Linked DNA regions of Tamandua tetradactyla. The protein of the gene in region 2 interacts with the protein of the main gene of each other region in a pairwise test. Links are inferred from orthologs where the notes say so. Each region holds a gene or a part of one and is shown on either strand. Other genes may lie near its edges. The genes, in order: TRIP6, NCK2, PAK1 and RASSF7.

Region 1 (7,617 bases), on a different chromosome or scaffold from region 2:
GCTATGGGGTGTGAATTAAAAGGCAGACATATTGGCATTTTGGGGATGGGAGTGGGGGCGTGTTGGCATGTCGGGTCAACGCCCAGGCTCCCGGTTCTTGCCCAGCTGGTGCTCCTGGCTGGGAAGCTGAACACGCTGGCCGCCGTCGTCACCATCTTCTACTTGGTGGCCTATGCTGCGGTGGACCTGTCCTGCCTGAGTCTGGAATGGGCCTCAGCCCCCAACTTCCGGTGAGAGAATAACACGCCTGTGAGCCCAAAGGAAAGCAGGGAGGAACCCGAGGGCCTTGGACCCTGGAGGGCAGGGCTGGGGCTGCGCATGGCATGGCCAAGGTCTTCAGGACAGGCCCTGAATTTCCTTCCTTCTCCGTGTCCTCCCCCAGCCCCACCTTCAGCCTGTTCTCCTGGCACACCTGCCTGCTGGGGGTGGCCTCCTGCCTGCTCATGATGTTTCTCATCAGTCCCGGGGCCGCCGGCGGCTCCCTGCTTCTCATGGGTCTGCTTGCTGCCCTGCTCACAGCCCGAGGAGGCCCCAGCAGCTGGGGCTACGTCAGCCAGGCCCTGCTCTTCCACCAGGTTGGAGGAGCCTGGAGGAGAGTGGGAGGGAGGCAGTCTGTGAAAGCCAGCCTCCTCCCTCGGGGGTTGGGGTTCGCATTCCTGTGGCACAGCGTGGGGACTGCCCCTTCCGGCCCTCCCTCCCACCCCCTCCTCCCTGTCCCCAGGTTCGCAAGTACCTGCTCCGGCTGGACGTCCGGAAGGATCACGTGAAGTTCTGGCGACCCCAGCTGCTGCTCCTGGTGGGGAACCCCCGGGGGGCCCTACCTCTGCTGCGGTTGGCCAACCAGCTTAAGAAGGGCGGCCTCTACGTGCTGGGCCACGTCACCCTGGGGGACCTGGGTGAGCTGCCCACATCCCCACCCTTCCTTTCTGCTTGGTCTCAGGCATTCTGTGTGTCCCAAGCGCCTTGTCCTTCTTCCCACATGACCCAGCTGACCAGCCACCCAGGCTTTTTCCCTCTGCCCATTAAGGGTTTGGTCTCTACGAGAAAGTAAATGAGTTTGTCCGACACTGGCCACCTCCCTTTCCCTGCAGACTCTCTGCCCTCGGACCCCGTGCAGCCGCAGTACGGGGCGTGGCTGAGTCTGGTGGACCGGGCCCAAGTGAAAGCCTTTGTGGACCTCACCCTCTCGCCCTCCGTGCGCCAGGGGGCACAGCATCTGCTGCGAATCTCAGGCCTTGGTGAGCCTCTCCTCCCTGCCCCACCCTTTAAATCTCAGCTCCCGCCCCAGAGAGTAAACCATAAACTGCAAACCCCAAAAGGAAATCATGATCTAGTACAGCTAAGAGGCAGTGCTCAAAGATAACAGCCTCAGACAGTGGATGATAAGGTTTCCTCAGAGATGCAAAGGACTAAAAATGGGGTGATACTGCTTTTTTTTTTTTTTTTAACCCCTGAGCCAAAAAAAAAAAAAAAACGGGGCACAAGCTCTGATTAAGTAGGTTATCTGGGGACAGTGGAAGAATGATTTGAGTCTGGAGCTGCCCCATCTGAAGTAGCGCAGATGGTTTCTCACCACCAGAGTTGAGAAAAAGGAAGACTACCATGCACGGAGGTGGCCAGTAAAGAGTGTGAAGGGACGGCATCTGAGCCGGGCCTTAGGGGGTGAAGGCAGGCATGGTGCAGTGCAGTCCAGAGACCACAAAGCACGCTGGGGGCACGTGGGGTTGATGCTCTGGGATGGGGGGAAGGTTCCCAGCTTTGCAAATGTATCTTGGAGCTGTGGCTTCTGGCCTTGTACCACACGTCCTGCCAGATCCATGCTCAGCTGCCTTCTCTGCCCTTCATCCCTGGGCTGGTGTCTGTCTCCTATGAGGGCAACCCACCTCCCCCATTTAGAACCTGGCTCAGGTTCATCAGTGTTGGACATGGCCCTATTTGGTACCAGTCAGAACCCTAGAAAATGCTCAGGAGGGGGTATGTCTGGTTGAACTTGCAAGATCGGCTTTAGTTCATACCTCCTGAGAGCTGCCCTTTGTGAGGATACCTGTGCAGAGACCCCTGCTTTCACAAAGTGCATCTTGATTTAAGTAAAAGGGAAGGGATCTCTTCTAATTAGGAAATTCTCCCGGCACATAGAATTTGACTTAGTGGTAAATTTTTAGCAACCCAGTTCCTTTCCAAGAAAGGGACTTAGGAGAGGTCTCAGAATTTTCTTGCAAATTCAGCCCTTTCTAAGGGGGAGAATTGCCTGATTCCCCACTGCTGTTCAAAAGTTAAAACTCAAGCCCTCAGCAGGGACGCTGTGGTTTGTGCACACATCAGCTTAGGGGTGCCAAATACTCGGCTGTGGTGCCTGGCAGCCTGTGTTCTCACACTGGCCCGGCCACTTACTGGCCTTGAGACTTTGGGCTGGTGATTTCACGGCTCTGTGCTCATTTTCGTTGTCTGTAAAAGGGGGAGCACGGAGTCCCCACCCCGGAGATTGTTCCAAGTATTAAAAAGTTAAAATATGAAGGGCTTCCAGCAGGCCCTGGGCCCTGGTAAGCATGGAGATGTTAGCTCTGTCTTCTCCCAGGATTGTGGGGAACTATCCTTGGGGCGGTGCTAGAGGGGAAACAGGCCGCACAGCTCCACGTTCTCTTCCCCTTGAGGCAGGGTCTGGAGCTGAGTTTCCTGGCCACTGAGGCTGTGAGCTTGACTAATCAATTGGGGTGTTTGTTCTGCCCAGTGGGGTCTGCTTCTCATCTCCCGCTGGCAAAAAGATGTGCTGCTTCAAAGCTTGGAGTGAATGGCAGCCGGGTCCTTGCTTCCGACCAGGACTGCTCCTTAGTTAAAAGAATCCTAAGGCAGACTTTGTCTATTTAAGCAGCGATCAGTAGTGTTGATCAAACAAATGCGCCTGAAAATGCTGAGGAAGAACTAGAAGTCAAGATGCAGATGCGCATTATGAGGCCTTAAGAGGCCAAACCACTGGCTTGAAGGTGCTATCCGGTGAGCGCGCACCGCTGATGCAGAGCCCTTCTCCCCGCCTCCCCCTGCCCGCAGGCGGCATGAAACCCAACACGCTCGTCCTGGGCTTCTACGACGACGCGCCGCCGCAGGACCACTTCCTGAGCGACCCGGCCTTCTCCGAGCCGGCCGACGCCGCCGCCGGGGAGAGTGGCGCCCCGGCCCTGAGCGCCCTGTTCCCGCCGCCCCGGGCTCCGGGGAGCCCCCGGGCCCTCAGCCCCCAGGACTACGTGGCCACCGTGGCGGACGCCCTGAAGATGAACAAGAACGTGGTGCTGGCCCGGGCCTGTGGGGCGCTGCCCCCGGAGCGGCTCGGCCGGCGCCCGGGCGGCCCCCCGCAGCCGCACCACGTGGACGTGTGGCCCCTCAACCTGCTGCGGCCCCGGGGTGGACCCGGCTACGTGGACGTCTGCGGCCTCTTCCTGCTGCAGATGGCGACCATCTTGGGCATGGTGCCTGCGTGGCACAGCGCCCGGCTCCGGATCTTCCTGTGCCTGGGGCCCCGGGAGGCCCCCGGGGCGGCCGAGGGGCGGCTCCGGGCGCTGCTGAGCCAGCTGAGGATCCGGGCCGAGGTGCAGGAGGTGGTGTGGGGCGAGGGCGCCGGGGCGGGGCAGCCGGAGGCGGCCGACGAGGGGGAGGAGGGGGACTTCGTGAACGGCGGGCGGGGGGACGCGGAGGCCGAGGCCCTGGCGGGCAGCGCTAACTCCCTGGTTCGGGCCCAGCAGGGGCGCGGCGGAGCCGGGGGGCCCGGGGGGCCCGAGGGCGGGGACTGGGACGCGGGGCCCGCCACCGCCCTCACCTTCCTGTACCTGCCTCGGCCACCAGCCGACCCCGCCCGCTACCCGCGCTACCTGGCGCTGCTGGAGGTGCTGAGCCGGGACCTGGGCCCCACGCTGCTGGTCCACGGCGTCACCCCCGTCACTTGCACGGATCTCTGATGGCCCAGGCAGCCCTTTCCTCGAGGGGGCGGCCGCCTCGGCGAGTGGGGAAGGGGGACGAGGGCAGGCGCCTCCTCCCGCTGCCCTGGAGCCGGATGGAGACGCTCCGGGCGGCCAGAACCAGGACCGGGAAGCCCCCCTCCCCCTCGTGCACCGCTGCCCACCCCCCTGAGCCCGGGGACGGACGGGCCGCTGTCCTCTCCTCGGACCGGTGCCTTGACAGGAGGGGCTGGTTCTCCTCTTGTGACTCTAGGCTACCTCAGTTTACTCCTTCGTGGCTGACAGACTCACTGACTCCTGAGGTTGTGATGTTTTTGTTCTGTTTTATTTTTCTAACTCTGCTGAACGTGAATAAAAGACCCAAAAACTCGGCTGGCTGAGCATTGCCTGGTGGGGTCGGGGAGGGGGCGGGGAACGGGGACATCTGCGGGGGCGGGGGGGAGTGGGACAGAGAGCCGAGCGGTCCCTGCAGAGGTCCACGTGCGGAGTCGGGGGTGGGAGCCAGGGGCGGTGAGGGCCGTGGAGGCTAGTTTGGGGTGGGGAGTTCGTGGGGGCTGGGGGCTGGCGCGGGCCCCATCCCGTCCCGGGCGGACGCGGGTGGAGCCCTTCCCACTCGGCAAAAGGGGGCCAAGTCGGGGAGGGACGGCAGTTTGGGGCCTAGGGGGCCACGTGACCCTCCCCCAGGAATGCGGTGACGTCATCGGAGGCGTGGCCGTCCCCCAAATTGGGGAGGAAGGGAAAAAAAAAAAGCCAGAAAAGTTTCTTTCCTGGAGTCCCGAACGAAGCGTGGAACGACAGAGCAGGCCACGGCTGGAGGACCCTCCGCGGTCAGGGGACCACTCGCTGGAGCCTCCTCCCCCATCCCAGGCCATGTCGGGGCCCACCTGGCTCCCCCCGAAGCAGCCGGAGTCTGTCCGAGCCCCTCAGGGGAGAGCGTCCTCCCGAGGCTCCCCGGGGCCACCGCCAGCCCCCGGAGCAGGTAGGGCAGCCCTGCGCCGCGCGTGCGGCGGGACGGGACCACCGCGGCCCAGCGCCCTCCCTCCCGCCGGCGCCTGCTTCCTGCCGCCCCCTCCCCCAGGCCGGGCTGGGGCTGGCGGCCAGGGTCCCCCTCTCTCCCCGCCCTGCAGCCCTCCCTGCCAACTCGGACCCCAGGTGTACTCCTCCTCCCCTCCCTCATCCCCACCTTTGGTCTCTCTTCCCCTCATCCCAGCCCTCCAGCCCCACCCCAGGGTCAATTTTTGCCCCCTCCCATCTGAGCAGTGTTACCAGGCCCCCGCGGTACCGGAGGATCCGGGGCCAGCCTGGGTGGGGTCCTATGGAGCGCCCCAGCGCTCACAGGTGAGAACTGGGATTGGGGGGCAGGGTGCGTGGGGCCCTCGGAGCTGAGTGTGAGCCGGACCCAAGATGGGAGAGGAGATGTGATTTGCATTCTCTCTGCTTTTATTCCATCCCCAGGGACTCCCCCCAGATAGGGGGGGCTTACGCCCAGGAAGTCTGGACGCTGAGATAGATTCTCTGACCTGCATGCTGGCTGAACTGGATGGGGGTCGTGGTCATGTCTTACGGCGACCAGACCAACAGGTGAACCCCTGTCCGGCCCCCTCCTGCCCCCAGCCTGCCCATCCTCCCCAACCTGTCCCTTTCCCTCGGTTCTCAATCCAAATCCAGTCCCCTTCCCCTTCCTACCCCATACACACCCATATTGAAAAGCGTGGGAACGGGAGCTCTTACTAATTGTCTGTGACTCAAGGGCAGGGCCGCCTCAAACACGTGGAAACACATGGTTCCATGAACACATGGTCTGGAATGGGCCTTGGTCATTGTGGTCTGTGTTTCCCCCCAGGCTTATGAGTCCCCTCAGCCCCCTGCCTACCGCTCCAGTTCCCTGAAGCCGAACAGAGGGGGTGTTCCAGCCCTGCAGCTCCCAGCATCCTCCTATGGGGGTCCCACTCCGGCCTCCTACGCCACTGCCAGCACCCCAGCTGGCCCGGCCTTCCCTGTGCAAGTGAAGGTGGCTCAGCCAGTGAGGGGCTGTGGGCCACCGAGGCGGGGGGCCTCTCAGGCCGCTGGGCCTCTCCCTGGCCCCCACATTCCTCTCCTAGGCCGAGGGGAAGTCTGGGGGGCTGGCTATCGAAGCCACCGGGAGCCAGGGGGTAAAGAGGAGGCTGCTGGGGTTTCTGGTTCAGTCGGAGGAGGAAGAGGAGGCGGATATGGGGCCCAGGTAAGCCTGAGGCACTGGGATTTTGCGTCCTCATGGACAACTAGATGCTGATGGTACGGGGTACAGGGTGGAGTTTAGTGTCCTGGTTTTAAATCAGAGTCTGAGGGCCCGGGCCTCAGAGCTCTGGATCCCTGAGGGATGTGGGCAGCCTGGGAAACAGGAGGGAGAGGGCTGCCATTGGCTCTGTGAAGCACTCCTGTACCTAGGGCTGAACTGTTCTCAGATGGGTTTTCTGGGTTGACCTGTCACTGTCAGGAGTAGTTGCCAGAGGTAGGACTGAAACCCCGATTCTTGCCTCCCAGGTCCCCCTGAGCCAGCCTCCGGAGGAGGAGCTGGAGAGGCTGACCAAGAAGTTGGTGCACGACATGAACCACCCACCCAGCGGGGAGTACTTTGGTGAGCAGGGTGGTGGGAAGGGGCAGGGGGTACTAGAGAGTCAGAGGGACGGTGGGCCTGTCTTCCTGGGTCTGTGCAGGCTGACCTGTTTCTTCTCTGACCCTAGGCCGGTGTGGGGGCTGTGGAGAAGATGTGGTCGGGGATGGGGCCGGGGTGGTGGCCCTCGACCGAGTCTTCCACGTGGGCTGCTTTGTCTGTTCCACATGTCGGGCCCAGCTCCGGGGCCAGCATTTCTATGCTGTGGAGAGGAGGGCATATTGTGAGAGCTGCTACGTGGTGAGTGGCTGGGAGGCTGGCATTGGCAGCAGGAGGCAGGGGGCTTCTCTCTAATGCAAGAACTAGCTGTCCAAGCCTAAAAAAGGAACAGGTTCAAAGCTGGGAGAATTGAGACTGAGACAGGAGAAGAAAGGAAGAGTTAGGTAATAGCTAAAGATCTGGGCTGCTGGTGGGGAAGGACAACATTCCTTTCAAGAGCAAGGCAGATGAATTAAGGAGCTGCCTTAAATTCCCACCATGCCCCTGCCAGGCAGGTATTCCTATTGCTTCCCATTTATATAGCTCAGAGACATGAAATGACTTGTCCAGTAACCTGCAGTGCTGAGACTTGAACTCAGGTCCTTTGCAATGATTGTTCACTGAATCACTGGCAGTGGGCTAGATAAATAGATGGTGGGCTGACAGAATGACTGGAGAGCTGCCACGGGGCCCCCTGACCATCCTGCTCTCTTCCCCACAGGCCACCCTGGAGAAGTGCTCCACGTGTTCCCAGCCTATCCTGGACCGGATCCTGCGGGCCATGGGGAAGGCCTACCACCCTGGTTGTTTCACCTGTGTGGTGTGCCACCGTGGCCTTGATGGCATCCCCTTCACTGTGGATGCCACCAGCCAGATCCACTGTATTGAAGACTTCCATAGGTCAGGCCCTGCCCTGCCCTTTCTCTCAGGATGCCCGGCTCTTCCCATCTCCCTCACCTCTGCTGTTTGCCCAGCACCAGTCCTGTTTCTAATCCCTGGCCCTGTTCTTTGGCCTCACTCTTTTCCCTAAGACCCCTG
Region 2 (7,866 bases):
GGCAAAGCGCGGCCTCGCACGGCCTCGGCGCCGGGCCCCGAGATCTGGGCTATTAACTCGCGCGGAGGACACGCGCCGCCCGGCAGCCGCGACCACCCCCCCCATCCTGGCTCCCGGGCTGACCCGCGGGGAGGAGGACTCGCTCCCACGCCGAAGCCCGGGCTCCGTCCCCGCGGCCGGCTCAGGAGCCGGCACCCTCTGCTCACCCGGGGCTTGCCCGGCTCCCCGGGACCCGCTGCCCGGGGCACTTAGCCCCGTCCCCGACGCCTCGGCCGGCCGCGCCCCCGCCCAGACCCTCCGCGGGGCGGCCCCGGTCCCCCAGGGGGTCGGGGCAGGGGGCCGGGCCGGGGAAGGCGGGCAGGAGGGTGCGGAGTTGGAAAGTGCCGAGCCCAGCCCAGCCCGCCCGCGGCCGAGCCGAGGGGGACCCGGTGGGCAGCAGCCAGGCGCCCGGTCCCCCCGAGCCCCAGCCCCAGCGCGGCCCCGCCCCGCCAGCCCCCGCCGCGCTCCCAACTCCGCCGAATAGCCACAAGTTTGCGGCGGCCGCGGCGCCCCCCGCGCCCCCCGCGCCCCGGGCCCGTCCCAGGCGCGCTTACCTCCGGCGGGGGCCGAGCGTGAGGGAGACGCCGGCGCGCGGGGGTCCCGGCGGCGGCCGCGCTCCCCGGCCCGGGCGGCGCCGCTCTTTGTCTGCGCCGCTCCCCTCCTCCCGCCGCCCGCGGCCGCTCGCCCGCTCCCGCGGCGGGGCCGACCGCGCCCGGGGCCCGGGGCCGCCGCTCAGCCTTCGCCGCCGCCGCCGCCTCGGCCCCGCCGCGCCCAGGCCCGGCCGCCCCTCTCTCCGGCCGCTCCGCCGCCCCGCTGGCCGCCGCGGCTCCCGGCGCCACCACCCCGGCGGCGGCGGCCCCTCCCCCGGCGCCCAGCCCCCTCCCCCGCTCCGCTTCCTCCTCCCCGGCCCGCCCCTCGCCGCCGCCTCCCGCCGCTCCTCCCCCGGCCGCGCCGTGACGCCGCCGCAGGCCCCGGGCGCGCGGGGCGGAGGCGGCCGAGACCCACCTGGGGGCGCCGGGCCTCGCCCCAGGCTGGGGCTCCCGGGCCCGGCGGGCGGCGCTGCGCGAGGTGCGCGGCCGGGGATCGGGGGGGGCGGGGAGGGAACTGTCAGCCTGGGCGGCCCGCGCGGGTGCTCGGCGACAGCTGGCCGCCGGTGCGGAGGGGGGACGCGTCCCTGCCGCGGGAGAGGGCTCGCCCGGGGGGCGAGGCGGGTGGGAACTGGGGAGTGAAAATAAGGGCAGTGGCTGCCAGCGCCGAGGGCCCGGAGGGGGGTCGCGCCCGTCCCTGCTCTGTTTGATTTTATCGTGACGCTCTCGCCGTTTGGCCCCCGTCCCCTTCCCGAAAACATTCCCACGGCACTCGCAGGAAGGCAGGCCTGTTGTCCATCAGGAAAGTGACTTTAAAATGTCACTTCCTCCTTGTAATTGCTCTTGGGTATTTTTATATCTTTGCCTTACATCTATTTACTTTCCCAACCAGACAAGTTTTTTTTTTTTTTTTTTTGGTTTTTGTTTTTTGTTTTTTTCTTTTTGCTCCCGCGTCCCTGCTGGGGGCACTTCCTGAGGGCAGGAGAGGAAACCCACCCTCCGCGGCCACCCCTGCACCTTCGCCTGCTCGAGCGGGTAGCAGAATCCGGGGAGTTGCTGCGTGAACGTGGGCGCCGGGAGGAGTTTTCACGCGTGGGGGGACCGGTTCCCCAGCCCAGCTGCGAGTTGGGCCTCACCTCTCTAAACAAACGTGGAAGATGAAATCCCACAAGGAAAGGGAAAGGATGACACATGCACCAGATGCCTGTTCTCCCACCTCCTTCCCATATGGATTCCCAAAGGGAAACCCTAATATTCAAATGATTCTGATATCCTAGCGGGATAGCCTGCAGCCATGTTAGAGAGTGACCCTGAGGCTCCTGGCTTCTCCATGACTATCAAGGCAGCAATAATTTATTCCAGGAGACCAGGCAGTATTATTTGACTCCCTCATCCCCTGTCTTGTCCTGGCAAGAAAGTCCCCAAGGATGGATAACTAGAGTCTGTATACTTTGAAGTCAGACAACTGAATGTCTCTTAATTTTTCTAAGCCTCAGTTTCTTCCTGAAGTGAGGAGATATGTTTACCTGCATCCTTTGCGATGTTGGGGCACACCTCATTAGCAACGTCTGGTAGCAGGGTGGACCACGTCGATTGGGAGATGAGAGAAGGGAAACATTCTGTTTTCATAACCTTGGAAGGTAGCCCCTCAGTCCATCCTTTCCTGAAAACTTTGCTTTACTAACAACTTGCTTTACAAAATGGAAAGCAGAAATCTACTCAGTGGTCTGCCCCAGTTTTAAATTAGTTTACTTGAAATAGGTTTAACAGTGTTGACCCAGTTTTTAGCTTGTTAGCTTGGTAAACTTTCACTGAATCATGTATCTTTGAACATCATCCAAAGCCTCCTTTTCCTCCCCAGACTCTGGCTCAAGGCACCCGGGACATTATCTACAAACCCAGCAGCCTGTAGGTCTTTATCCAAGGTTGTTTTCCAAGCAGGTGGCCTTTCTGCTATTTCATGAAACTCAGCCATCTTTTCATTCATCTAACACGTCTGATTCCCATTCTCTTACATTCCTCTGTATCCTTGTTGGGTGTTTTGTCTTCCCAGCTTCTGACGGTGGCCATATTCCCGACACAGATTTTGGCTTTATGTTCTTATTCTGTCAGGTGCCTTTTTTCCAGAGAGCTAATCATTTTGTGAATGCTTCTGGTCTGGATTTGCCAGGACTAGCTCCCAGATCTGTAGCCCTAGAGAGACCCTTAGCCCTGACCTCGCCTTTACGCCCGTCTCTGGTTTCACCTGCTCATGAGACCCTCCCTGTGGCCAGCAACTCACCTCCTCGAGATCATCCAGGATGAACTTGGCCTCCTTGCCACACCAATCCTTTCTTCCACCACCTTCTCTCGGCCCCCAGGGTAGAAACCTGTCCTTCCTCTAGTTCTGCTCTACCTGCAGAAAGTGAGGGGATTGCCGAGATCACGTGAAGATCCCTTGCCATCTCCACTCCCATGACTCTGAGTCATGTTGATTCTTAAGCATCACTTTGGCCACACCTTTCTACTTTCAATGCTACCGTCCTAATTTTGGAATTATTGATAAGCAAAATGTTCATGTATTGAATATTTTACATTTGTCGTCTTTAATTCAAACACAAAATTGTCTTCCCCATTTTACAGACAAGAAAAATGAAACAGCAAGCCACAGAACTGGAATCAGAACCTGCACATACTGGACTCCAAAACCTGGTGCCACATTCTCAGGTTCTAGGTAGACCCATCTTTTGGGGGGTTTCCATGCAACCCATTACAAGGCCCAAGGTGGCTGAGACATTTCTTTGAAGCCTGAGTTGTATCCAAAAATATCTACCCATTTCTGCATTGACCTCCATCAGTACATCCAGGTTTGTTTTTCTATTAAAATATCCTCACTAACAAAATATTGAAAGGGCCGAAAGTGTAATAAGCCTTTTCCCCCAAAACACATCAGCATCAAGTCCTGCTATTTATCTTTCACAGGCCTCTATGACCTAGTCCTGCTGGAACAATCTAGTTTCTTGGTTCAGCCCCAATATAAGCGATTTGGTTCAGTCCCCCTGGGCTCTCCGCTGTCCCCCATTTAGTCACACCAATTTCTACCTTCTAGAGTGCAGAGTAGCCAGGAGCTCCCTGCCTCACTCCTCACCTATTTAAGGTGTTCCCGGAAGTTCTGGACCCGCCTCCTCTAAGCCCTCCTTGGACTAGATAAAACTTCTGAATTCTCCTCCCAGGTCCAAGGCCTGCTTACAGCCCTGTGACTTGGACAAGTCATTTAAGCATTCTGAGCCTCACATAATAGTAGTACGACTACAAGAATTGTGTGGATTACGTGAGCTAATAGGAAAAATACCTCTTCTGTGTGCTTCGACACCTGGCAACCCCTCATATCTGCCTTTCTGTGCCCTTCTGTCTTGACCCTCAATTCAATTAAACCTTCCTAGTACATTTCTATTTGTAAGGCGTTAAAAGAGGCAATTCGGGAGAAACAGATAAATTGAGCTTTTAATCTCAGAGGAAGGATAAGGCACAATATACAAACAACTACAACGTAAAGCTAAATTTGAAAAGTATTGAACAAAATGAGAGAATCAGGAGAGGCTTTCAAAAGGTGGTGACATTAGAAATGGACCTTGAAAGACAACACAGTAGCAGACTGCCATAACCAGCTACCCTACATCTGAGTCCCTTCCTTGTTTTAGGGAGACCCCCATCTGAATGAGAGGAAGGCAGGGCTCCTTTGAACCCTCCCACTCAGGCCTCTGAAACTTGAGTGTGACAAAGAGGGAGAAGGGTGAAACTCGATTTGCTCTGGCCTCGAAGTCCCAGCACTTCCTTCGAGGGTAGCCAGCCTGCTTAGTTCCCAGCCTGCTTCCTTGCAGCCCCAGCTGCCCTAGCAGCTCTTTGATATGATTCCAGTAAATTTTCATTCTGCTTAGGGTAGCCAGAAGCACTTTCTCTTGCTTGCAATCAAAACCTCTGACTAAGCAACCTGTACAATTTTGAAAGATGGAGACAGATAAGGAGGAAATTCCTAAGAAAGGGGGTAGAGACCCATGAGGACAGAAAGGAGAATGTTGGAGGGTTTGATGGGATCAGACAATGGCCCAGTTTCCTTACATGGAGGAGAGGATGCTCATGAGGTGAAGTCCCAGGAGATAAAGTGTGGGTGTGGGCATCACCTCAGCTTTGTTTCAGGAAAACTCATGTGGTGGGTACACCAAAGAGGTTGAAGGAGGAATGCCCAGATGCAGGACAAACAGAAGTTTGCATTTCTCAGAGAGGTAGGAACCCAGACTAGGGTAGGATGAACAGAAGAGAAAATGGTTTACAAGAGCCTGGGATGAAAAGCTCAAAAGAGATTGACAGATGGCCAGGCAGAGAGGACAGAGGAAAAAGGCATCAAACCTAACATTAGGCTTTGGATATAGGTAGTGCATATGTATAACAGGGCCAAAATCAGCAATAGAAAAGTTGGGGAAACGGGTTGGTGAGGGATTAATGGTTTTGTTTTTGTACAGTTATATTTAATGAATATTTATAGCCAACTGACTACAAGCAGAGTTTCTTCTGGAGGTATGCAAGTGAGCAAGGCACAGTCCCTGCCCTCAAGTGACTTTTTACTAGAAAAGAAACCATTAGTGTTATAATTTCCCACTGGAGTAATGAGCCTTAGTGTTCTTTAATTGCATCATCTATCTTAGTGTTGAGATAAACACCCTGCAGGCAGGGAACAAGTCAGAGTTTTCCATTCAGAACCCCAGCACCTTTTCCTCTACAGAGTGCCTAGCAGAGACTTAATAAACTTTGATGATGAATGGAAAGTCCACATTTTTTTACGAGCTCACCAAAGGGGACAGAACTTCAAACAATAGTGAAGAGACCTACAAGACTTCATGAACCCATAAAACAATTTCAGAACGAATACTGGTGGACTGGCAGGTTTCAGTATTTCATTTTATTTACATTAGCTTAGAGAGAAGGGGCGGAAACATTGAGTCTTCAGATAAAATGAAGATTTCTTACCCAAAATACAAAGCACCTTCTCACCGTCTCTTCAGACCAAAGAGGAGGCAAGCTAGAAACCCATGGAACCCATCTCTCAGTTTCTGGAAGAATGAAATCCAAAAAGCCCATAATTACACATTAAAAGTTCATCCATCTCAAAACAACAGCTACCACAAAGGGCCAGTCTGTATATAAATCTACTCTTTCCAGGTCTGGAATTATGATCTGTACTTCAGGAAATGGGTGTGCTCATCTTATTGTTTAAATAAATGAAAAAGATAAAATAATACACTATAAAGTCAAGTGCAATTATGGGCAAAAGAATTATAGGAATAAAAGTGTACTGAAATACTAACTGATCTCTCTGTGCATTTTGTCAAGAAACACAGATTGTTGATAGACACGCACAACGTAACTTTTAAACTTGAGGACTGCTTGTACTGAAAAATAAAAAATCAAACTTTAAATTATTTTAATTAGCAGCAGGGCAAAAGTAATTTTAGAGTGGACTAATTTTGAGAGTGCTCCTACAACTTCAGAAAAGCTAAGAGGATTTTACTCGAATTTCCATTTTGAAATCTACCTTTAGGCGAATATCACATCTGAAATATTTGTTAGATACAATAAACCCTCAATTAATCCAAATGCCTCAGGAAGGAGCTGTTCCCTTAAATTAAATTTTCATTTCTGTTAAGGTTTAACCAGAAAGGCCCTTTAGCTCAAAAACAAGTTGAAATTTTTTCCTAAAATACCACAAGCTGATATCTCACCATAGAAAGCACAGTACAGTAAATGAAATGTCTTTTTTTATTTTATTTTATTTTGATGTTTGGATGCCTTATAAGGCCTAAGGGCCATCATTCTGAACATGCAATCTCATTTTACAGGATTAAGCACATTGAAGATTGCGTGGAAACTAAACTAAATTGGAGCCACGTGCTAGAATGACTTTTTAAAAACCTAATACAGTTGTTTTCCCGCATCTGCTACTTTCTTCCAATAGTGGAGTGCTGAGTAGAGAGATTTCAGTTAATAAGGTTTCCAGTTATTAAAGTCTAGTTATTTAATGCTTTAATGTTTTATATGCATATTTAAAAGGGAAGACTTCTAAAATATAAAGCAGTTCTCAACTGGGGTATTGGTGAATAGTTTGTTGCTTTTATTAATCACATTCTTCATTAAAGAACAAATACGTTAGAAGGAAAGTATGTTTTAGAGAGGTTGGCTGGCACACCTTCACGGTGCTGTTTGAGGTACCCTGGTGGGGACAGCCCTCTTCTTCTGGGAGTCTGATGGAGACTTTTAAACTGGAAATCTGTGTTTGCAGAATAATCCTGTGCAATTTGATACCTGCTGATATTCAAACAGCACCCTCCCTTCATCTTTCAGTAAACTCCTTCCTAGAAGATGTGTGCATTTGTCACCAGTAAACTCCTTCCTAGAAGATGTGTGCATTTGTCACCGCTCTGCTAAGGCACTCATCCAAAAATGCCTTGATTTGGGGTCATCTGTGTCCATAGGGTGTAGAAAGGGGACACACTGACCAAGGGCAAGGGTGACTTCTTTGGATTCCCGCAGATCTCCTTGCTCACTTCTCAAAGTTGGCAAGTTAATAATGGTTTCCTGAAGGAATGGTGCAGGATACAAATTGATTTAAGAATGTTGGTGTGCTGGTTTGAAACTGTTATGCACCCCAGGAACGCCGTGTTCTTTTCATCCTAATCCAGTCTCATGGGGGCAGGACCACTGTTTGGATGAGATCTCTTGATTAGGTTGTTTCCATGGAAATGTGAGTCCACCCATTCAAGGTGGGTCTTATTAACTTACTGGAGTCCTTTCGGAGGGGAACATTTTGCAGAAAGTTCAGACACAGAGAGGAGAAAGAAGAAACCAGGGGACAGATGTTCAGAGATGTTTGGAGACAAAGAAAAGCTCAGAGAGGAGGCCACTGGAACCAAGAGCTGAAAGCAACACAGGAGCATAGGGCCAACAGACACCGTCCTGTGCCTTCCGATGTGGCAGAGGAACCCCAGACGAGATTAACCTTTTCTGTGTGAAGGTATGCTTTTGTCGATGCCTTAATTTGGACATTTTCATTACCTCAGAATTGTAACTTGTCGCTTCATGAATCCCCTTTGTAGTAGCCAATCCATTTTTTGTATATTGCATCCTGCATCTTTAGCAAACTGAAACAAATGGCTTTTAAAAATGCAAATATTTTTAATGATGTGCTATTGTAAGTTATTATTAACAT
Region 3 (7,775 bases), on a different chromosome or scaffold from region 2:
CACTTGTCACCCCCTGGGGCCCACTCGGGTCCACCTCACTCATGCTACTCATTCTCCTAACCCCCATTGAGGGCGCATCCTATGTATGGAAGTTCAAAATCAGGGAAACCTTTAGCCAAAATGATAGATTGACCACTCATATGATTGGCACAGGAGACTGCCCTCTAACAGGTTGTAGTCAGCCTATAACCATCCCCATAAATCCTAAATCAGTTGAAAAGGGCCTGAGGCCATATGCCTGCTTTCCATATGCCCAAACTGAAAGCTGTAACCAAAACAACTATGACAATATATATGGGGGATGCCCCCATTGGTCATGCAGAATACATGATGCTTATGTGGAGGCAGCTCATAAAGGTACCTTCTACATTAGCTCCCAGCAATTTTACATAAATATTGCAGATCCCTGGGACACAAGATGGGTAGCAGGAATCCAAGGCAAGCTATACTACAGTGGCTGGTCCCGATACCCTGTAAGCACCATTGAAATACACCACAAATATGTCCTCATTAATACTACTTTTACCCGGGTATCCACGGGCATTTTGCAGGCTGAGCAAAGCCTCTCCAGCCACCTTGCCCAAAGCTCTGCCTCCACAACCCCTCATACATGGCCCCAAATCCTCCAACAAACCTTGCAATTCCTCAACCAAATGCAAATACTCCCTAAGGTATCCTGCTGTTTCCTCTGTGCATCATTAAATAGGCCACTATTGGGAGCCGTCCCTATAAATCTCACTCAAATACACAATCATAGCCCTGATTCCTGCCATACCACTCTAAAAAATATCCCCCTATGGGAACCAGAGCCTGATAACCTTCCCTACCTCCTGAAAACCTGCTACCTCACACATATAACCATAGATCAAACAAAACATCATAGCAAGTGCCAGACTAACGTCACTATCCATAACACCACCCATGCCCCCAAAGGACAATATTTCTGGGGTAATGGAACTCTTACCAAGTGCCTTCACTCCACTGCCCCAGGGCCATGCTTCCTGGTAACTATTGTTCCTCAATTGACCCTCTATGGGGAGTCCGAACTAACCTGGCTACTGCCCTCTCCTCGCTCAAAAAGGGCTGCCTTTCTTCCTATCCTAGTAGGCATCAGCCTAACCGCTTCAGTCGCAGCCTCAACCACAGCGGGAGGGGCATTGGGACACAATATTTTAACCTCTCAAAACTTTGAAACTTGACTACAGGTAGCCCTGGAATCAACGTCAGAATCCCTCTCCTCTCTACAATGCCAACTCACCTCACTAGCCCAGGTAACTCTTCAAAATCGACGGGCCTTAGACCTGCTGACAGCCGAAAAAGGAGGAACGTGTATATTCCTACAAGAGGAATGCTGCTATTACATCAATGAGTCGGGTCTGGTGGAACAAAATATTCAAACCCTAAACAAACTAAGAGACGATCTCTATCACAGAAAACAAGGAACCAACTCTGCCTTTAGCTGATTTTCTTCTCCTCTGGTGACATGGCTCCTCCCACTACTAGGACCAGTTATCCTAATCTGTCTCTTTTTCCTCCTAGCTCCCTGCCTCCTCAACTTCCTTCAGGGATGCATGAAGGAACTATCCTGGGTAGCAATCAACCAAATGCTCCTGCATCATTATCATCACCTGCCTTCCTCACCAGATTCCTACAGCCAGCCTCCCCACTCCCCTGGCCATGACGGTTCCGGCCTATAACCCCACGCCACCCCATTACAGCAGGAAGTAGCCAGAAAGATCTCGGCGCCCTATTATCACAAAAAGGCTGGAATGTTAGGTCAGAGGAATGGGGAAAGGCACTGCAGCTGGAGCTGCAGAGGCTGTGTCACCCTTCCCAACCTGACTTCTGGAACTAATGAACTGCCCCTTCCGGACGTCATCTGACCCCCATCCTTAAAAGCTGCCCGCACTGAAGCCCATGTGCGGACTCACCTCTCTCCATCTTGGATGCGGTGAGCTCTGCCTGGGAGCGCAGAAATAAACTCGCTCACTTTAAATTTCCTGGTCTACTTTTCTTCTTTTTCACCCTTTTGCCTCCTAAACCTTTCAGAGGGCATCCCAAGAAAAGAGAAAACCCATATAAAGGCAGGAAGGCAGGAAAGAATAGGCCCTTTCGGAGAACTGCACGTGGTTTTACATGGCTGGAGAGTAAGGTTTAGAGGGCAGAGTGGCTGTGCTGGAGGAGGCAGCAGGGCTGAGAGCCTGGTCTGCCCTGCTGAAAGAGTTAGGATGTCCCGACAGGTTTTAAGCAAGAAGTGACAGAGCCTGATTATGTTTTATATTTCTTCCTTGGTACATTCTTATTTTTTAAAAATCATACAAGTAATATGGATTCATTATAAAATAATCAAAATTTAGATGAAGAAAATAGCAATTGCTTATAAACTTAGCATCATAAGTAAGTTTGTATGCTGTGTATCCTTCTAACCAGTTTTCTCTGAATTTCCTCATCCCCTTCCCCTCATCTATTTTACAGGGGCATCCAACCTTCTAGAATCTCCATGACCTTTGAGATAGAAAAAATCCTATTCAAACCACTCTCCCAAGCATGACAGGAAACCCAGATCCCTACCACTATCTCTGTGGATTCTCTTTTTTTTTGGGGGGGGGGGGGTGTTTTAGTTTATAAGTGCTGCTAGAGTGCAATACACCAGAAATGGCACAGCTTCTAATAAGGGGAATTTACTAAATTGCAAGTTTACAGTTCTATGGATTTTGAAAATGTCCAAATTAAGTCAAGGCTATAATAATGTCCAAACTAAGGCATCCAGGGAAATATACCTTTGTCGAGAAGGCTGATAAGGTTTGGGTTTTCTCTCAGCAGGAAAGGCATATGGCAACATCTGCTAGCTTTATCTCCTGGCTTCTTGTTTCATAAGCACCCCTGGTGGGGGGTGGGGTGGGGCATTTTCCTTTGGCATCTCCAGAGGTCTCTGGCTGTTGGGTCTTAGATGTTGGTCCTGGTGGCTTTTGTTGGTTCTAAAGCTTTTTCCAAAATGGTTCCCTCTTAAAGGGCTCCAGTAAGCAACCCTACCTAGAATGGGTGGAGACACATCTCCATGGAAACCATCTAAGAAAAAGTTACTGCTCACAATTGGGTGGGTCACACCTCCATGGAAACAATAAAAAAGATCCCACCCAGTACTATTGAGTGAGAATTAAAGGACATGGCTTTTCTGGGGTACATAATAGCTTCAAACTGCACAGGGGCAATGGGGTAATGTTTCTTTTGATCCCCTTTAGCTTTGAGTTTCCACCTTGATCTCCACCCTGAATTTCACTTCGTGGGGCACCTCAACCCTTTTTTCTATACCATACAACCCTGTTAGATATTTCCTCAACCTTTTCTCTCCCCCATATATTTCCTAAACAAGGCTATGTGTTTATCTTTAGAAAGGTTTTGGGGCAAGAGAGGATGGCTTATATTGTAGCACAGCCCAAAGAACAGCTTGAAACTAAGGAATAGACATCAGTTCTTTTAAGAGTCTATCAGTCATTCCCATCATTGGAAAATTCTCATTGACTGTCCCTCCACGGTGACACCAGCTGCCCAGGTTCTCTTGCTCCCTTCCTCCCTCTCTTTTTCATTCTCCAAAATCAGACTTCTCTAGCTATAAACCCCAAAGCTTCCATCCCCAATTCTCACTCTCTTTTGTACAAAGTAATTCAGCATTCCCCTCGTTTACTCCAACCCACAAAGAGATTCTAAGTTATTCTACTAAATCAAAAGTTTCTCCCCATATTAGTTTCCTAGAGCTGCTGTAACAAATAACCACAAACTGGGTGGCTTAAAACAACAGAAATTTATTCTCTCATGTCATATTGTCATATAAATGTTTTTTATCCTACTGGCTGCATTTACTTTACAGCTTTGGTATTTTAAATATCCTTCCTTAAATATGTTTGTTCCTAAATAATATTCTGCTACATCTTTTGAAATGGCTACATACTTTATTTTTGGACACTTAAGTTGTTTCCAATTTTTTATTGTTACAAACAGTGCCACAAGAGGTGTGTATGTGTTTATTTCCACGGTATACATTTTCTAGTAGTGGAGTCGGTTTTCGTACCCTCTAGAAGGGCTGCATCAGTTTATACATCCAGAAAGGCTTTTAAGTGTCTCAATCTCCAAACACTTTCTAATAGTGCACATATTTGTCCTTATTTTTTTGTGCCTTTAATTTGCATTTCTTTGACCAATAGTGAAGTTCAACTTTTTTCATATGTATTGAGCACTTGGGTTTTTTTCTTATGTAAAATGCCTTTTCTTGTCAATTGTGCATTTTTCATTTTAGATATTTGTGTTTTTCTTACTGATTTGAAAAAGGTCTTTGAAAGCTATGGATATGGACCTTTGGTTCAGGATGCTTCCCTAGAATGTCATTTGTCTTTCAATGTGTGGTAATTTTTGCTACAAAAAGTTTTACTTTTTTATGTAACCAACTCTAGCATCCTTTATGCCTTCATCCTTTAATTTCATGTTTATGAAGTCCTTCTTTATTCCAAGGTTTTATAAATGTTCAGCTATGTTTTCTTCTACTCATATCAAAAATTTTCATTTACTTACATTAAAATTTTTAATCTTTTCCTGCAATTTATCTTAGGGTTACATTTCAATATTTTTCCATGTGAGTACCCCATTATTGCAGCACCATTTGTTGAATTTTTTGTTTGTTTGTTTTCAATTGTTTATTTGCTTGTTTGTTTTTGTTTGGGGGAAAGGCATGGACGGGGACTCAAACCCAGGTCTCCCGCATGGCAGGCAAGAATTCTACCACTGAATTACCCTGGCACCCCCTTTAACTTTGTTTTGATGGTAGGTAATGGCCCAACATTCTACCCACTGCGATGAATCACAAGCTTCCTTATATACTAAATTCTAACAAATACTTGGATATTTTTCTGAATTCTCTGTTTTTGAGCTAGCACCATAATGTTTTTGTTTCAGGTGTATAAACAATTCATTAATAGGCAAGGCCTATAGACTCATCTCTCCTTGGACACACCCACGGCACAACCACGGTGACCAGTGTTCTCCGTTGCTGGCCTTGGGCATGAAGGCCCCAGAAGTGGCACAGCCCTCCGCGGACTCGAATCTTCTTCAGTCGCTCTAGATCTTCACGGAGCTTGTTGGCCAGACTGTTGGCCAGGACCTGGCTGTGTTTTCCACCTTTGATGTCCTTCTGTCAGCCTAGGATCTCGTGCAGAAGCGGATTCTGCATAAAGGTGATCACACTTTCCACCTCATCCTCGGTGAGCTCTCCTGCCCTCTTGGTGAGGTCGATGCCTGCCTCCCTCAGCACCGCAGGAGCTTACCTTCGCCCCACACCCTTACTTAACGGCAGTGCTGGCAAGGGCTGTCTTTCCGCGCTGCAGATGTGGGTGCTGAGCACACGCAAAATGTGCTGGAATTTCTCCAGGATCTCTAGAGACGGGGCTGCGTGTAGCGGGAGTGTAGCCTCCTGTGAAAGCCATAATGTTTTAATTATTGTATCCTGCAGGTTTTCTCTTTTTTTTTTTTTTTTTTTTTTTTTTTTGGTGCATGGTCCGGGAGTTGAACCCAGGTCTCCCTCATGGGAGGTGAGCAGTCTACCACTGAACTACCACTGAACCACCCGCACCCCTGTGGGTTCATTTTAATATCTGGTAGAGAAAGGAATTTTTAGTTCTGTTCTTTCTATTAATGCACATGATTTTTCTCATTTGTTTATTTTTCTAAATAAACTTTAAAATAGCATCTTTTGCATTCTGAAAGAAAAAAACCCCAGACGTTTTATTGGAATTTTATATTTATAGACTTGGTTTGAGGAAAGTTAATACCCTTACAACATTAAATCTTCCAATACATTCATGTAATACATTTCTACCCTTATTCAAATCTCCCTTTAGAGTTTTGTAGAATCACATGTTTATCATTAAATTTATAGCTGGGTGTTTTGATTATTTTCATTGTTGTGATAATGTCTTTCTTCCATTATATTTCTTTACTGATTATTGTTGGTATATAAGAAAATTAATTTTTAAATATCTCTGTTACAATTGCCAAACTTTCTTAACTCTATTATTAATGCTAATAGTTTTCCAAGCAACCATATCATCTCCAAATAATAATTTTGTTTCCCTATTAAATATTTACACCTTGTTTCTTTCTCTCATTATTGCATTGATTAATACTTCCAGAATAACGTTAAGTAACTATAATGCCAGTCAAATTACTAGTCTTAATGGGAATGTTTCTAATGTTTTACTGCTAAGTATAATATAAGCCAGTGGTTTGGTTTGAGATCAGTATTCATTATCATGCTAACTAAGGTGTTTTTCTTTAAAAATAAAACGTGTATGTTGATTTTTATCAAAATGTTTTAAGCATTTTGTTCAGATGATCATATGCTTTTTCTCCTTTGATACATCGATGACATAAATTATATATAAATAGATTTTTTATAAAACATTGAACATTCTTATTTTCTTAGATTAAACCCCCATTTGGTCATGGTGAGTTGTGTTTTAAAATATATAACTGCGGGTTCGGTTTGGAAAATTGATTGAGGAAAGGCAAGGTCAAATGCAGAAAGAACATTTAGGAGGCAATTGCAGTTCTGAAATGAAACAATGGCAGTGCAAATAGAGAAAAGGTCTAGCTCTATGAGATATTTAAGAGGAAATATCTATGAGAGGTAGTGGCTCACTATATTTGAGAGACAAAGAAAAAAAAAGAAATTCAAGAGAGGTCCCAGGTTCTTGGTTAGGAGACATTTACCAAGACAGGGATATAGGAAGAAAAGAAGTTCTAGTGAGTGTTGGAGTTAAGAATAGAGGATGAGCTCAATTTAGGGTTTGATGTCCTGAGTTGGTTATACATGTGGGTCTGGAGCAGAGAGATTTGAGCTGCAGATATTGATTCGGTAACTATCAGTGCTTGGAGACAGACAGCTAAGCGTGGAGAGTGATACTATAAAATGAAGGCTGAAAATGGAACCACAGAGAATATCCAATTCTAAGACATGGGAGAAGGAAGAAAACCCTGAGAAGACAGAGCCAATGAGGTAGGAAGAAAACCTATTCTGTTCACCAGGAAAACAAGAGGATGATAGAATTTCAGGGAGGAAGTGGTCAATAATCTCAAATGGAACAGAGTTGTTCAGTCAGACAAGAACTAGATAATACTTTCAGGATTTGTCAAGACCCCATTGATGACCTTTGCAAAATCAATTTCAGTGAAGGTGAAAAGTGAGGGGGAAATCTGATTATGCTGTGTATCGAGCATAACCTTGCGTTTCTTTTCAGATTGCCTTGAATGCTCCTTTCTATCCAAAGTCACGCTCACCCATAGGACTGCTGCTGCCTCTGCCAAGTACCTTCAGTTGGTTGGAGTCGAAACTGAAGCCCCAGGCCTGTGCGTGTGCGCACACACACACACACACACACACACACACACACACACACGTCTGCGCTGAATTGTCCCTCTGCTATCAGACGGATTAAATGCTGTAACACAGGGTGTGAAATCTTGCTTCCTGAACTGCCATTGAGAGGCCAGATGATGCACAATAGACGTTACACAGAAGTACAGGGGAGTTATCTTCCTATGGACCTTGACAAATGGGAAATGGGCGACAGAAGAGGACCAGGCAGGTGCATTCCCCTAATTTCTCCTTTCCACAGACTGTTCTATGGTGTGATTCCTCCTTATAGCCATGCAGGGGAACTCCCATTTGACTTATCTGCTAAGTCACCTGCTGTTTTTCATCTTGGCTCACTGGAAGCATTGCCCAG
Region 4 (7,353 bases), on a different chromosome or scaffold from region 2:
GGCGGGGCGGGGTCGGGCGGGGGTGGGGGGGCCCGGGCGACACCGCCGGGACCGGTGCGAGGCCAGGCAGGGCCGGCGCCCACCGTGACGTGGTGCCGCGGCGGCAGCAGCGTGCCGGGCGGGAAGCGGTACCGGCGCACAGGGAAGTCGCGCTCAAGCTGCTGTAGCACCGAGCCGCCCAGGTCGGCCGTCTCCTCCAGCGACTGGTTGAGGACGCGCACGAGCTTTTCGCGGCTGCTCACGGCCACGATCTTCAGGTAGGAACCGGCCGGGCTGGCGCGGGGTGGCGTGGGGCACAAGGTGTCCAGAGACCCGCTGTGCCTGCGCCCTGGCCACTGGGTCGCACCCCACCTCTCGTCGCGTCCGTATGGCCTGGGCACCACCGAGATCTTGCAGGGCGCCCCAAGGGGATTACAGCGATCCTGGTAGAGGAGGCCTGTCCGGGAGGGGACCCCTTGGAGCACCCACAGAGGATGCCCCCTGAGGGCCAGACAGCCCTGAAGCCCCCTGGGGGTCCGCGGGGACAAGGAATGAGCTAGGGACCAGGAGGGAGGGTGAGGCCCTGGGGCCTGGTAATGCTGGTTCTGACTGCGAGGCCTCCTCACCTGGGCCAGGGCCCCTGGGTCCACCTGCTGACCCCTAGAAAGGTCTCAGGCCTTCCTGGGGCAGCTGTGCCGGGCCTGGGGGTGGGGGTACGGGGAGAGCTGCCTACTCCACCTTCCAGCCCGGTAGTGGTGTCTCCGCTGAAGGTCTGGGTCTGGGCATCGACCTGCTCCTGGGAGGATCCTTCTGGCCCCTGGGGCGGGTGTCCTGTCACCTGACGCACGAGGGAGGGCTGGGCCAGCGGGCAGCCCCCAGCGTCCGAGCTGGAGCCTGCAGAGCTGCTGCTGCGCGCCCCTGGCAGGGAGCTCCACTCCACGCTCTTCTGTTGCCTCCCCGCACGCTTGCGGGGCGCCTCCGAGTTCCAGCTGCCCTGCCCTGACTGCCTGTGGGGCCACGCACTGCTCACCAGGTGCAGCCAGCTCCCTGATGCCCAGCCCAGGCCGCAGCACCCATCCTGGTGTGTGGTCCCTGTAACTGGGGTGCTCACCCCAGGAGAGGGCATGCCAGCTGGGACCTGTCTTTTACCTTCACCCCAGGGGCACCCCCTAACCCCCTTCACAGATAGAGAACTGAGGTTCAGGGGCACAAAGAGGGCCAGGCTCGGGTTCTGGTCCACAGGTGGCAAGGCCAGCCCCCCTTCTCTGGCCCCTGGGGTGGGGTGGGGGCTGCGCAGTTACTTGTGCTCCGAATCGACCCTGGTGAGCAGGTTGGGGTATCGCTGGGCAATGCTGTTCCAGTCTACGTCCTCCAGCCGGAAGGCCTGACGGGAAGCAGTAGGCACTCGGCCACCCCCGCCCACCCGTCCTCCGACCCTGGAGGGCTCCAAGCCCTGAGCCCACGCGGGGGGCCTCACTCACCTCCTGCGCGGTGGGCAGCAGCTCATTCTCAGAAGAGTCACTGGGAATCACCAATGTGTCTGCTGTCACCACCTGCAAGAGGAGGTGGGGAGCAGCCAGTTGGGGCTGGGGAAAGGGCCTCCCCTCCCCCTCGACCTCAGCAGCACCCAAGGGTGTGATGTGCCGAGGTCATGTGGGTTGGACTGCAGGAAAACGCTCCCTCCCTCCTGGAAGCTTTAGTCCCAGAGAGCCTGAGAGTTCGGCCCCCCAGGCAGGCCCGTGTACCCCTGCAGCGGCAGAGGTCAGCGGGGAACATGTCATCCAAGGAGGCTGGGGAAGGGGACGCGGCAGGCAGGAGGGCGGGCGAAGCTGAGTGGAGCAGGTGGGGAGGCGTGCTCACCTCCACGCTGCCGGTCTGAGACCGCAGCACACGGCCGACCCAGGAGGAGTGGGCCAGCTGCAGGAGGCAGGACTTCTGGAAGGTCTGCAGCTCAGCCTCCAACTGCTGCAGCGTGTTGGTGGCCTGCAGGAGCCTCTTCTCCCAGCGCTCCTTCTCCTGCTCGGGGAGGGAGCACCTGTGGTTCCCCCCTCTCAGGCCCTGGCAGCCCAAACCTTGCCCGGTCCTGACCTCACCCCAGCCTGGCTCCCCTATGCCGGCCCCTGACCCCTCACCAACTGGGCTCGTTCCTTCTCCTCCTTCAGCTCCAGAGTCAGCTTGTGGACTTGGTTCTGCAGGAGCTTTTCCCGATCCCAACCGTGGGAGCTCCTGGGAGGAGGGCATGGGCTCAGCAGCCCCCACCTCTGGGTCAGAGGAGGGGAGAAAGAAGGGGCTCCTTTGCTCCTAGGTACCTGGCTCTGACAGGTCAAGTCTGGGCAGGGGTCCAGATTTTGGCCGGACTCTACCTAGTGCCGCGCTGTGTTCACCCCTGTTGACTCGCTCAGGGTTAGGGTAGGGGTCAAGGTCAGGCAGGCAGTAGGCCTAGGGGCCAAGGTCAGATTTAGGGCCAGGGCTGGGATTAGGGTTGGAGTCCAAGCTTGAGGTCAGCGGTTGGGGCTGAGTTAGAGTGAGGACGGGGTCCTGGTTTGGGCCGGAGGAGGGGTGGTGCCGGGTCCTTTGCTGCTGACCTCTCGGGTGGGCGCCCGGCCACCTCCTGCAGAATGTAGCTGTGCCGACCATCTCGGTTGCCCTGCACTGCCCACCGCAGGGCCTGGAGCTCCAGCTCTCGCTGCCCCCACAGCAGCCTCAGGGTGCGGGGGTCCAGGAACTCAGGGGCCAACCTGTAATGCCAGTGCCCCTGCCGCTTGACCAGGCCCTGGCCTGTGTCTGGCCCGGCCGGGGCACTGACCCCCCTCCCACCCCCCTCTCCTTACTGCTGGTTGGCGAAGATGAGGGCCGGCGTGGCCTGGGGCTTGGTGTCCTGTGGGACTGTGGGAACCCCGAGATCTGCTCCAGCTGGAGGACCCAGGTCGCCACTGACCTGCTCGCAGTCCACCTGGGAGGAGTGAGCCTCTTCCTTGGTCCCTGCAGTGTCCTGGTAGGGCTTGACCATTCTGGATGTTGTTGGGGTGGTGGGGCCAAAGCTGCCCCATGACCAATGGGTGGGTATCCCTGCCGGGCCCTCCAAGCCCCCTGCAGTGCCACCCTCCCACGGTTCACGGGGCATCTCTCTGTGAAGAGGCCTGTGTGTGTCCCACCAGGCCAGGGCAGCAGGTCATGTCCCCAAACAGCATGTCACCTGCTGGCTTGTGTGTTCCCAGTGACCCTTGCCGTCCGGTACCTGAGGTCCTGACTTTCAGCCTAGAACAAGGGGGTCCCCTCTATGCCCCAGACCCAGGTCCTGAGGTCTGAGCCAAGCAGGCGGGGCAGGGAGGGGCTCTATGTCATTGCCATGGACACCGGCACCCTAAGAGGGAGGGGCTGTTTGTTACCAGGAGCCTCCTGAGAGACCCTAAGCCTGGACACTGAATTAGCTCGGGGGGGGGGGGGGGGCGGCTGGAGGCTCAGGGGACCATGGAGTGACCAGCAGGGCCTGCCACGGCCACCCACTGATCCTCTGACACCCCAACCCTGGCAGAGGCTCCCCAGCCCTGCCTTGGGCGCTGTGGCATGGGGCAGGTTGCTGGCCTGTGTGTGTGAGCATGTGTGGGTGTGGCCCCTGCCTCCTGGCACAGCTCTGCCCAGAGGGGGAACCTAGGGGAGCAGCGTGCTGAGCCTCCTCCTGGCCCCTCCCGCGGTCTCTGTCTCCCACCCATCTAACACGCAGGCCTGCCACCTCCCTCTGCCCATCACCTCCCCGCAGCCAGGGTCCCCAAGGCCACTGCGCCGGCCGCCCACAGCACAGACGTGGGACCTTAGACCTGACCTCCATCCCGCCTCCTTCATTATCAGGACTTCAACTCCTGCTCCCTGACGCCTGGCTACGGGTGCGCAGACGGCCACGCGCCGCGGGCCCCTGGCCGCCCATAGGGCGGCCACCACGACCTGGAGCCCCGCACTGCGTCCCCGACTCGGGGATCGAGTGGCAGCTGGGCCCGGGGCAGGGCGAGGGGACGGGACTCAGAACCCGGGGCCTGGGCCCAGGCGTCCCTCCCCAGCGCCGGGACGCAGTCAGGTTGGGCGCTGCGTGGAATCGGCGGCCCGCGGGGACCGACACCTGCGCCGCCCGCGCTTCCGTGTGGCTCGGGGGCTTTAAGCGCGCGTGCACTGGGCCGGCCCGCCCCTCGGCCCAGCCCCACCCACACCTGAGCTCCGCGGGGCGGGGCGCGGGCGGCGGGCCAATGGGCGGGGCCGGGCGGAGGGGCGGTGGCCACTGGGCGCGCGGCGGGGGCGGGCGGTCCGCGAGAGGAGCCAATGGGGGCGCGGTGGGCGGGGCGCGCGGGCGGCGGGCCAATGGGGTCGGGGCCGCCCGCGGCGCCGGGGGCGGCAGGTTGCGGCGGCGCTGGGGGCTCCAGGAAGGCCGGGGCGAGGCGGGTCCGGGGTCCGCGCGCCCAGGTGAGCAGAGCTGGGCTGCTGAACCTCCTGAGTCCCCGCGCGGGCCCGGGCCGGCGGGGTGGCCGCCTGCGACCGAGGAAAGTTGACCGCGGGCGCCGGGGCGGGGGAGGAGGGGATCGGGACGCCCGTGGGGGCGGCGGGAGCACCTGCCCCTCCGCAGCGGCGAGGCCGCGGGGGCCCGCCCAGGTGCGGGGCTGGGCTGGGGACGGGCGCCGATCGGGCAGAGGGGCTTCGGGCGCTGGCCGGAGGGTCAAGGTCAGGGTCGTGATTCCCGAGTGGTCCCGGGGCCTGAGAAGGGCCCTTCCAGGTTGGGGGTACGTTTCCATGGCCGTGAAAGCGTTGTGCTTGCGTCCTGGCGCCCTGGGTGCTTGGGGACTGTGGCGCTGGGTACCGCCCCCAGGAGCGGGCAGTGCCTCTGCGCCAGGTGCGGGAGGGGCAGGAAATCCTGCATCTGGTTAATAATTTGCCTTGTTCCTGGAGTGGGGGGGACAAGGGGCGGCTGCTGAGGTCTGGAGAGCCCAAAGTGCCTGTCAGGAAGGGTTGGCTGAGTTCCTTTCCTGGGGGTCTAGTCTTAACTCCCCCCACCCCAGGAATGTGCGGCCTGGGGTGCGGCTGGGCACGGGAGGGCGGGGCGAAAGGAGAGGCTGGAAGCCCTGAGACCAGCTGGGGGCCCAGGGGCAGGGGAGAGCAGCCGACCTGCCCCTCTACCCCAGGCCCAGGCATGCCGTTGGGGCTGGCCGCCATGGAGCTCAAGGTGTGGGTGGACGGCGTCCAGCGCGTGGTCTGCGGGGTCTCGGAGCAGACCACCTGCCAGGAAGTGGTCATCGCACTGGCCCAGGCCATAGGTGAGTCGGTGTCAGGTGCAGGGACCAGGTGGCCCACCTCATCGGTCTTGCCCACCCTCACCTGTCAAGCCAAGTGAACAGAAGTCGGGGTGATGGGTTGCTCCCTCTGACTCGCCACCATAGGCATACAGGACAGAAGTGGGGGGGCACGGACTGACTGTGCTTCCCCCACCAGGCCAGACTGGCCGCTTTGTGCTTGTGCAGCGTCTGAGGGAGAAAGAGCGGCAGCTGCTGCCCCAGGAGTGTCCAGTGGGTGCCCAGGCCACTTGTGGCCAGTTTGCCAGCGATGTCCAGTTTGTCCTGAGGCGGACAGGGCCCAGCCTGGCCGGGCGGCCCTCCTCGGACAGCTGCCCACCCCCTGAGCGCTGCCCAATTCGTGCCAGCCTCCCCCCAAAGCCACGGCCAACACCAGGCTGCGAGCACCACAAAGCAGTGACCTTTTGTTGCGCAACTTCTGAGCCTGCGGCCTCCGTGGCCCCCACGACAGCCTGCTGCACAGACCTGCAAGGCCTGGAGAGAGCCGTGCAGAGGGCAGCGGCTGAGCTGGGCCAGGAGGCCTTCTGGGAGCAGGAGCTGCGGCGGGAGCAGACCCGGGAGCGTGAGGGTCAGGCACGGCTGCGGGCGCTGAGCGCGGCCACTGCTGAGCACGCTGCCCGGCTGCGGGCCCTGGACGCCCAGGCTCGCGCCCTGGAGGCCGAAATGCGCCTGGCCACAGAGGCCCCTGGGCCGCCCTCCCCTGTAGCATCCGCTGCCGAGCGCCTGCGCCACGACCTGGCCGCACAGGAGAGGCAGAGTGCAGAGGTGCAGGGCAGCCTGGCCCTGGTGAGCCGTGCCCTGGAGGCTGCGGAGTGTGCCCTGCAGGTGAGCCCGTGGGACCCCAGCCCCTCCCGGGCGTGGGGTGCTTAGGGTCAGGTGGGGAGAGCGCTTGTGGGAGGCAGCCCCCTGAGGGCTCCACGTGCCCCCAGGCCCAGGCTCAGGAGCTGGAGGAACTGAACCGGGAGCTCCGCCAGTGCAACCTGCAGCAGTTCATCCAGCAGGCGGGGGCTGCCTTGTCCCCATGCCCCCGGCCGGACAGGGGCCCCCCTAGATCCCAGGTGAGAGGAGACCCCAGGGAGGCTGGGCACAGGGTGGGGGTTGGTGCCCAGCCCAGCAGAACTGCCTCCCCTGCCCCCCACAGGACCTCCTGCCTCCAGCTGGAGAAGAGCCCCTCCCAGGAGTCTCTCGGAGCCCCATCCCAGGGTCCCGCCTGAACCCTGAGGGTATGTCTGTCTTTTCCTGTCCAGACAAGAGGGGTACTCCTGTGACTCTCTCAGCCCCTCACCCTGTGTCCTTTGTCCAGTTACTCCTGTGAGGCAGAACTCCTGGACGTAGCAGCTCCTGCCCCACGGTGGATGCCCGTGCTAGCCTCGCCAAGACCGGCCCTGCTTAGGTGACAGAAGGCGATCCAGTGGCCACAGCACTGTCCCCCACGTGGCCCTCGGGTCTGGGACTGGAATGGAGAATGCCACAGGCCTTGGAGTCTCTGCTCTGTGGGGCTGGCGGCTGGCCCTGGGCCAGGTCTGCCAAGTACCCCCAAGAAGGTGGACACTGAGAGTCACAATTTTTTGCTGGGGACAGGGGAGGCACAGAGGAGGGTGTAGCCTGGGGGTGCCGGCTTGCGGCCGGGAGGTGGCCTTCGTTGCGTCTGCAAGTGGCATGTATACGTGACAAGAGCACAGGAGTGCTACCTCACCGCTGAAGCCAAAACCCCAATAAATTGCCCACAGCAGCCTGCAAAGGGCTGAGGTTGGGATTTGGAGTGTGATGCCCCCAGTGTTCCTGGAGAGCACCCTAGCGTTCTGGGGCTGGCTGGGGCTGGAGCTCTTGTGGCCCGGTAGGGCACAAGACTGGGACCCCCACATTCAGGGCGCTGGCGCCTGCAGCCTGGGCCTTGGCCTCTCCACCTCTGAGCTGGACAGTGGGAAGTGGCGGGCGGGCCTGAGGCACCAAGACAGCAGCATGGTCCTGGCCTCTGTCCTGCTGCTGTCTGGCCCCTCAGCTGCTGGGCTCCCCTCTTCTCCAGCAGCCTGCACCCCAG

Evidence for each region.
Region 1: the proteins of NCK2 (region 2) and TRIP6 interact in binary tests that used the Homo sapiens proteins (3 or more experiments, as listed by UniProt). The two-hybrid records come from large-scale screens. The link is inferred for Tamandua tetradactyla from reciprocal best matches to the Homo sapiens genes NCK2 and TRIP6.
Region 3: the proteins of NCK2 (region 2) and PAK1 interact in binary tests that used the Homo sapiens proteins (3 or more experiments, as listed by UniProt). The link is inferred for Tamandua tetradactyla from reciprocal best matches to the Homo sapiens genes NCK2 and PAK1.
Region 4: the proteins of NCK2 (region 2) and RASSF7 interact in binary tests that used the Homo sapiens proteins (3 or more experiments, as listed by UniProt). The two-hybrid records come from large-scale screens. The link is inferred for Tamandua tetradactyla from reciprocal best matches to the Homo sapiens genes NCK2 and RASSF7.

Annotation. Positions count from the first base shown.
Region 1 is NC_135349.1:8,876,930-8,884,546, forward strand, and holds the start of TRIP6 (thyroid receptor-interacting protein 6), read left to right. Parts: upstream 1-4,607; 5' UTR 4,608-4,817; coding exon 4,818-4,926; intron 4,927-5,157; coding exon 5,158-5,285; intron 5,286-5,402; coding exon 5,403-5,528; intron 5,529-5,790; coding exon 5,791-6,168; intron 6,169-6,470; coding exon 6,471-6,564; intron 6,565-6,670; coding exon 6,671-6,840; intron 6,841-7,300; coding exon 7,301-7,479; intron 7,480-7,617. Other genes in the region: SLC12A9 (solute carrier family 12 member 9), read left to right, coding at 106-230, 383-575, 722-896, 1,092-1,238, 3,046-3,947. UniProt on the Homo sapiens protein: Relays signals from the cell surface to the nucleus to weaken adherens junction and promote actin cytoskeleton reorganization and cell invasiveness. Involved in lysophosphatidic acid-induced cell adhesion and migration.
Region 2 is NC_135343.1:70,554,243-70,562,108, reverse strand, and holds the start of NCK2 (cytoplasmic protein NCK2), read right to left. Parts: upstream 3,007-7,866; 5' UTR 2,908-3,006; intron 1,096-2,907; exon of another isoform or gene 1,045-1,095; intron 665-1,044; exon of another isoform or gene 594-664; intron 48-593; exon of another isoform or gene 1-47. UniProt on the Homo sapiens protein: Adapter protein which associates with tyrosine-phosphorylated growth factor receptors or their cellular substrates. Maintains low levels of EIF2S1 phosphorylation by promoting its dephosphorylation by PP1.
Region 3 is NC_135334.1:67,315,632-67,323,406, reverse strand, and holds the start of PAK1 (serine/threonine-protein kinase PAK 1), read right to left. Parts: upstream 3,013-7,775; 5' UTR 2,781-3,012; intron 1-2,780. UniProt on the Homo sapiens protein: Protein kinase involved in intracellular signaling pathways downstream of integrins and receptor-type kinases that plays an important role in cytoskeleton dynamics, in cell adhesion, migration, proliferation, apoptosis, mitosis, and in vesicle-mediated transport processes.
Region 4 is NC_135335.1:432,951-440,303, forward strand, and holds RASSF7 (ras association domain-containing protein 7), read left to right. Parts: upstream 1-4,351; 5' UTR 4,352-4,431; intron 4,432-5,144; 5' UTR 5,145-5,152; coding exon 5,153-5,276; intron 5,277-5,451; coding exon 5,452-6,137; intron 6,138-6,241; coding exon 6,242-6,370; intron 6,371-6,453; coding exon 6,454-6,535; intron 6,536-6,615; coding exon 6,616-6,647; 3' UTR 6,648-7,080; downstream 7,081-7,353. Other genes in the region: LMNTD2 (lamin tail domain-containing protein 2), read right to left, coding at 84-436, 718-986, 1,281-1,363, 1,461-1,532, 1,840-1,995, 2,112-2,205, 2,565-2,717, 2,811-3,103. UniProt on the Homo sapiens protein: Negatively regulates stress-induced JNK activation and apoptosis by promoting MAP2K7 phosphorylation and inhibiting its ability to activate JNK.